2 linked regions of the Schizosaccharomyces pombe genome follow. The gene in region 2 interacts genetically with the main gene of each other region. Each region holds a gene or a part of one and is shown on either strand. Other genes may lie near its edges.

Region 1 (4,097 bases), on a different chromosome or scaffold from region 2:
ATTCTACCTGCTTTATGGGTTGGTGGCTTCTTGTCTGCTTTGGATATGACAATTGTTGCAAGTTTATACCCTGTAATTGGTAGTGAATTCAAGTTAATGAATAATGCTTCCTACATTGTTACCGCCTATTTAATTACAAACACCGCTTTCCAACCTTTATATGGTAGACTTAGTGACATCTTTGGACGACGCCCTACCGTTGTATTTGCAAATGCTGCTTTCACGCTTGGAACTTTTTGGTGTGGTATATCGAGAAGTCTTCCGGAATTGTGTATGGCTCGCGCTCTCGCCGGCATTGGCGGTGGAGGTCTTGGTACCATGTCTTCCATCATTTCGAGTGACATCGTTTCATTGCGTGAACGTGGTACCTGGCAAGGTATAACTAACATTGTTTGGGGTATCGGAGGTAGTTTGGGAGGACCATTGGGTGGGTTAATTGCTCAAAGATGGGGTTGGAGAACAGCGTTTCATTTTCAAGTCCCTATGGGAATATTATCCACCATACTAGTTGCTTGGCGTGTCCGCGTTAAACCTACCGTTCGAAATTCCAATGCATCGTTGCTTTCACGCATTGATTACTTAGGCAGTTTTCTTCTTGTAACGGGCATTACGGCACTGGTAGTTACCTTTAACATGGGCGGGGACGCATTTCCTTGGGTTTCTCCAGTTATCATTACTTTGCTTGTATCTTCTGTCCTTATTTTGTTCGCATTTTACTGGGTCGAAAAGAATATTGCTGTTGAACCAATTGCGCCTGTGGAGATCCTATCTCAGCCTACTCCCTTGAATGTCTGTTTGGGTAACTTTTTCAATGCGTTTTGCAGTTTTGTCATTGTCTACGAATTACCCTTATTTTTCGAAACGACGCTATTAATGCCATCGTCTGAGGCCGGTGTTCGTATCTTTCCTTACGTTATCTCCACATCTGTTGGATCTCTTTGTTCAGGCTTATACATGAAGAAAACTGGCAGGTATAGAAATTTGGTTATTGCTGGATTTTTTTTCATGTTGATGGGTATTGTTTCCTTTGCTGTTCTTACTTCTTTCGGTCACAGAACACCCTTAATATTAATTTCTCTCTGTTTGGCAATGACCGGATGTTCTTATGGAATGAACCTAACTTCTACCCTTATTGCTATTATCAGTTCTTTAGCCCCAGAAGAACAAGCTGTTGCTACAGGCCTTTCCTATCTTTTCCGTGCAACAGGTAGCGTCATTGGTATCAGTCTTTCCCAAACAACAACTCTTTCAATCCTTATGAAGCAGTTAGCCTCCAACTTAAAGGACGATCCGGATAAAGATGATTTGATTCGACGTCTTCGAGAAAGTATAAGCATCATTCCAAATCTCCCCAAAGATATCCAAAAGCTAGTCATAAAGTCGTATGCCACTGCTTTCACATGGACTTTTGCCTTAGTTGCAATTATAGCTTTTGCTGGATTCTGGTGCTCGCTGAGGATCAAACAGTTTTATTTACATACCTCTGTTGATCGTTCATAAATTATATCCTAAGGGGATTCTGATTTTCTACATATTGGTAGATAAGTCATATCAGATTTTTGTTTACATTTAGATTTTATTTACAAGTTTATGTTATATACTTTTGAGTTCCATGATGGTGATGAGTCATATTGTTCTTCAGGTTCCACCACTATCATATTTAAACGGATTCGCTAAATATTTTATTTTATTTTATTTTTTGCTTTGAGGAAGTTGTGTATCCTTCTTTACACTAGCATCAGAGAGAGCACACTTTGAGACTTAATTATGATAACAGATTGGATTACAAACGATTGTTTAGCTACAGATAGGTTTGTTTCTCTCTTTTTAATTAAATTATTTCTCTTCATAATATTTTAATGTAAAATTGACTAATCAGAACGCTGATATTCTCTTTGTATACTAATTTCTTCTTTATTTACAATGAAAGCTATATACTTAGCAATTTGAAGATTCATTATTATCACATACCCCATTAGCACGTAAATCTTAATAACGATATTGTGATATAAATCTATAAGTTCTATAACGAAAGCCAATGGACTCGTACATGACATCAATTCTTTAGAAATCTACTGGTTAGCATCTTCCACATCATTGATATAAACTTACTTCGGTAATTTTTTAAACTTGAAATTTCTTTGTGTTTCTGCTTCAATACACATCAATCTTTTTGCTGTTTATATTCAGTTTTTTGATTCATCCTCGTCAACAACGTTGCTATAAGTTTATATATATAAATTTACAACTTAACGGGTATCTTCTTTACGAATATGGCTTCTACTACTGACATGAGTACTTACAAACTAAATCACACTATGATTCGTGTGAAAGACCTCGACAAGAGTCTCAAATTTTATACCGAGGTGTTTGGTATGAAACTCATTGATCAATGGGTTTTCGAGGAAAATGAATTCTCTTTGTCGTTTTTAGCTTTCGATGGACCTGGAGCTCTAAATCACGGAGTGGAACGTAGTAAGCGTGAAGGTATATTGGAACTGACTTATAACTTTGGCACTGAGAAGAAGGAAGGCCCTGTTTATATCAATGGTAATACCGAGCCTAAGAGAGGATTTGGACACATCTGCTTTACTGTTGATAACATTGAATCTGCTTGCGCATATTTGGAATCCAAGGGGGTTTCTTTTAAGAAAAAGCTTTCCGATGGTAAGATGAAACACATCGCTTTTGCCTTGGATCCTGACAATTACTGGATTGAGCTTGTTTCTCAATCTGAAACTAAGCCCAAAGCTAATATTTCTAACTTTCGTTTTAATCATACAATGGTCCGTGTTAAGGATCCCGAACCTAGTATCGCCTTTTATGAGAAACTTGGAATGAAGGTAATTGACAAAGCGGATCATCCCAATGGTAAGTTCACCAATTATTTCTTGGCCTATCCTAGCGACTTGCCCAGACATGATCGTGAGGGATTACTTGAATTGACTCATAACTGGGGTACTGAAAAGGAGTCAGGACCCGTTTACCATAATGGCAATGACGGCGATGAAAAGGGTTATGGTCATGTTTGTATTTCCGTTGACAATATTAATGCAGCTTGCTCTAAATTTGAAGCTGAGGGGCTACCATTCAAGAAGAAATTGACCGATGGCAGAATGAAGGATATTGCTTTCTTACTGGACCCTGATAATTACTGGGTTGAGGTCATTGAACAGAAGTAAACAGTGACGCCTTGTCTTTTTAGAAACGTTGATTATGTTTGAAAGTGGTGTGGGGAGAATTTTTAGTACATGTTTTTTTTTTGAGGTAGAAATATATTATTTTCGCTATGAAATTTAAGTATCTATATTCTCCTTTTTTTCATTTAGTGATTTTCGATATCCATTACCTTCAGTTCGGACAGGAATTGAAATAGAATCAACCCTAATATCTTTGTAACGGGTAATAAAATAACAAAGTAAAAGAAGAGAACTTACTCATTTTTTTGTAGGAAATTACGTTTAGTACATCACTATTGTAATTGTACACTCATTCTATAGGAAGAAACCACGATTTGGGTTCCCTCCCTCAAACTAGAGTAATTTTTATAGCAACAACTTCATGATGAAGTAGCAATATAGGAATATTAGAATAAGTTTTCAAATATTCCATTTGCAGTTGCAGAAACGTAATTTAATAGAAGCACAGAAATTATTACGATATAGTTACAAAACTTCCACATTCAAAATCAACTTAAAAGAGCATAATCATGAATTGATATTCAATATGAGAACTCCCAATTATGCAGCATTGTTTTCGTTAAATGACCATCATTAGTTTCCAAGAGATAACATTAAACCAAAACAAAAAATCTGATACACTGCAAAACTAAGCAACTATGCCTTCATTGCAAACTAAATCAGATTAAATTAAAAATGCATATAAAAAGAATATCTTCCATGAAATAAACACATGTACATCCTCGTGAACCGGCAACCCATCCTTTTCTATTAATTTAATGAACGACAAAAAGATTGGCTTGTGCCCCTTAAAGGATGCCAAAAACATGACAAGCGACGTGAAGCGTAAAAACCACATAATAATAAACAATGAGGGATAATCAAATTTATTCCACCGTAACTGATTTAGCCAAATTG
Region 2 (3,871 bases):
GAATGATGCTTGATTTTTCTAGGGTATTCATCTTTCAACGAACGAGAAATACAGTGTATAGTTTTGCAATTATCATCCTCTGACAGTCTCTTAATAATAGCTGCACCATTTAATCCTGTTGCCCCAGTCACTATAGCCACGTAACCTTCTTCTGCCATTGTGTTTCTAACTTTGAATATCTTTTAAGAAATCTCGCATATATGAAATATATATATATATATATATATATATATATATATATAGCATTTATGCTTTAATTTATACCCAAATTTTATGATCTCATTCACTTTTGCTATATCACTAGTAACATCATCCATACTATAGACTTGTTCTAGTTTGTGAAATTCACAATAGCTAGTGAACACATGTCGGTGTGATAATAACAGTATGATGTTGCAAGTATGTATGGTCATATTTGATTGAGGTATGAAATACAAAAGGTATTTTAATAATGCTGACTATATGTAGGGACGCTGTTAGAGCTTAGCAAGCAAGTTGAATACAGAGAAATCGAGGCACCATTGCAGTGATGCCCCTTGCGACTGATGGAAAAACATAACAATGAATATTTATCTAATTGTTTTAGAACACCTGACTATAAACTGTTAACTTTATGGGAAGGTTGCTTGGAAGGTTGCTTGGTTGGATGGTTAAAAGTCATTTTTGAAACCTCACAAGCTGTTCGTAATTAGTTCAAAAACTAACAATCTAAAATAAAAAGGAAATAATAAATAAATCCAATAAAATCCAGCTACTAACAAAAACAATAAATTGTTCCACTATTAACTCTCGCTATTCTAGAAATTTAAGTGTCATTAATATTGGTCTTTAAAGCTCAAGTTGCTATTTACAACCGTCTCTTAGTCATCGAAATAAAACTAATGATCGATCTTTGAAGCCATCAATTATACGCTTTCATCAATGTCGAATTCATCAAGGCATTTAGCAGGTAGAGTAAAAAAAGAATCGTTACAAAAATGGATGGTTCATGTCTTGCGAAGAGATTGTGAAACTTTTATGGCAGCCTCCGCTGTAGATTTAGCACTCATTGGATTCACACCTGTTACAATTCTTCCATCTACCTGAGTGAAATCGGACATCGGGGTAGGCGGGTCAACGAACTCTGCACCGGCTTCTCTAAACAAGCTGTTCAGATCTTGCATGTTCCTTTCTCTCAAAGCACTTGATACACCCATTACAAGCTCTCCAGTACTATTGAAGGCGGTAACCTTCTTACCATATACGACGGAACGTCCTTCTGGTGACTTGGTGTCATCTACAAAAGGCAGCATAACTGGACCGTGGCAGACGGCAGCAAGTACACCATTGCTTGCATAAATTTGTTGAGCAAGCGTTTGCAAATTTGTGGCATGTGGTAGATCAAACATGGCTGCATGACCTCCTGCAATAAACATGATACAGAACTCTTTGTAGTTAATTTTATCGGCAGGCTTAATATCCTTCAGCGCATACCAAAACTCATTATCCTTGTTGTCAAAAGCATCCCTCTCCACTTCACCCAAGGCAGATTTTTTGATTGAATGGTCGTCGAATTTACATTTTCCTGTTTCTGAAGTTAGTTGAACTTCATAACCCGCTTCTCTGAAAACTTGATAGGGAATCAAAAGTTCCGCAAAGTGAACTCCAGTATTCATTCCATCTGGATAAAATGGTCCATAGTAACTGCTTGCCACGAGAAGTACTTTTCCTTCTGATGCCATGGTGTATAATGAATGGGTGATCTTTGCAGCTTCACCTCAATAAATAACAAATTTTAAAAAAACATCACTTAATTGCAAAAGCGGGATGAATTTCCATTACGACTACTCACGTAATCTATTTACCAGGTTCTTGGATTTCTATAGAAAGAGTGACGAGGGCATTGTGTCAATATGATGTTAAATTCATCTTAAAATCAGATGGATACGTTTGAATCTAAAGTGGTTTCGGCACAATTCTATTCTATTGTGTAGAAGGACATTGCGATCGCTACTGAGAAAATGCAAATCTCTTTGTATTGTTTAGTGTATAAGTTTCATCTTGATTTGAGAGATTTGCTTCAAGGACTTTTTGCTAGTTTCAATTATCATCATGATTTTCCTCATACGTTTTAGGATTGTGAGCGATGCGTAATTAAAATTTCGTAGTCTATGATTGTGAACGGAAATTTTTTAAAGTACTTTATTACTATATGAACATACCAAGCTAGAATGTTGCTCGTTTCAAAAGACAACTGTAAATTTGATCTATTCAATTGGAGTTTATTGAATATTCAGATAAAATAAGAGGTTTAAGTTTTTTTCATTTACACTCGCCAACCGCAACTTTAATTATATTTTTTCTTTTTTTGCTCTTCAGTATGCCACGTTATACTGTTTTACGTTTAGATTAGAGCTCGAATAATTTTATACCAACAACGCCTCTATATTCGAAATCATTAAAAAGATAAGATGTCAACTACTTACATTGCGCTATAATACACTGCGTTGCGTATCACTATATGTCATATGTTAAGATACTACTGCACCACACATTAGTGAAAAGCACAGATAAACTATCTGTCTATCTACATAGATAGCAACTATTAGAAAGATTATAAATAGAGCTACAATTGACCCTCGTTTCTCATTTCAGTTATTAGCTATTAGCTATATGGTCACCGATACTAATAGACTTCATATAACAATTAATATACATTGTTAGTTAAATATTGCATACCGCTATATTGTAGGTCGCAAATAAAACTCACCGCAGTTCTATGTATCGTTAAACAGGTTCCAAACAGCGTAGCTGACAGAAACTGTATTTTAATTGTCTACTGAAACATAAAAACAGTTGATTGAGAATATATTTTGCCCAATAAAATATTGAAAGTTCTGGATGTGTTCCTTGCTTGCAAAAATTTGTATTTCGTTCTTTCTCTTACACTCATTCGTAACTTATACCTACTAAACAATCGTGGCGACTGTGTGGATAACGTATATGCGGAAATATACTACAATTGAATTTGCCATGGTCTTTACCGTGTTTAATTAAATGTGGTTTCTAATTGTTTCATATACATTTCAATTGAGGGGATACTAGAGAAACGTAAATAATGAGTATCCCATTTTTTACTGGAGAAACAACATATTCATTTGCTTCTTGCGTGAGCTATTCAGGACATTATTGTGTTTCCATATATCCCATTTGATATTAAAAGAATTATTCTGAAAACGAAAACATTGTTTACTATTGCACTAGTTAACCAACGTTTGTTTACGCTTTAAAGCAGTTTTGCACAAGTGCATTTTCTTGATGTTGAAAAGTAGACTTTCACAGATTTAGATCTCTTTTAGTAAGAAAAAAATAGGGTAATAAATAAATTTTTTTAAACTACTTTTTATTAAGCGTTTTTGATGTTGAGGTTTTTAGGAATAAACTCTGCTAGTATTATTTCAAACATTAACCATGCGTAAATTTTAGTACCAACATTTGTTAATCATATATGTTAACGATACTTAGCAAGTCGATATTTATTTAGTGAAGTTTAGGAATGTCGGTTACGGCGAAGATTAATTTCATTACTGTCGGCTAACCTCTTTTATTTCAGTATTTGGACTAATGAGCCACATGGATAGTGAACGCTTGCTCTTCAAACGCTATTTACAAAGATTATTCATCACGAGAATACTTACGTTGATCAGGTTAGATTTATCTCTTTTTAGACGATATAATACCAATACTATCGTTGGATCTGTTGCATATGAAACATTAGTGGATACAGTTTGCGATGTCTCATCGAATTCGACATTTGTCGTAAGTAGATTTACATGTTTTCGTTTTTCGGTCTTTTCTAACTAAACAGATGTTTAGCTTGCCGTCGGAAGAA

The links.
Region 1: of hsp3101 (region 2) and glo1, extra expression of one rescues a mutant of the other (dosage rescue), as found in Schizosaccharomyces pombe (one study listed by BioGRID).

Annotation. Positions count from the first base shown.
Region 1 is NC_003423.3:2,444,425-2,448,521, forward strand, and holds glo1 (glyoxalase I glo1), read left to right. Parts: upstream 1-2,132; 5' UTR 2,133-2,273; coding exon 2,274-3,182; 3' UTR 3,183-3,433; downstream 3,434-4,097. Other genes in the region: vacuolar amino acid transmembrane transporter Fnx1, read left to right, coding at 1-1,500; gfa1 (glutamine-fructose-6-phosphate transaminase), read right to left, coding at 4,067-4,097. UniProt on the Schizosaccharomyces pombe protein: Catalyzes the conversion of hemimercaptal, formed from methylglyoxal and glutathione, to S-lactoylglutathione.
Region 2 is NC_003421.2:46,755-50,625, forward strand, and holds hsp3101 (glyoxylase III Hsp3101), read right to left. Parts: upstream 1,748-3,871; 5' UTR 1,722-1,747; coding exon 987-1,721; 3' UTR 571-986; downstream 1-570. Other genes in the region: SPOM_SPCC757.02C (epimarase), read right to left, coding at 1-158; SPOM_SPCC757.04 (transcription factor), read left to right, coding at 3,773-3,798, 3,848-3,871. UniProt on the Schizosaccharomyces pombe protein: Catalyzes the conversion of methylglyoxal (MG) to D-lactate in a single glutathione (GSH)-independent step. May play a role in detoxifying endogenously produced glyoxals. Involved in protection against reactive oxygen species (ROS).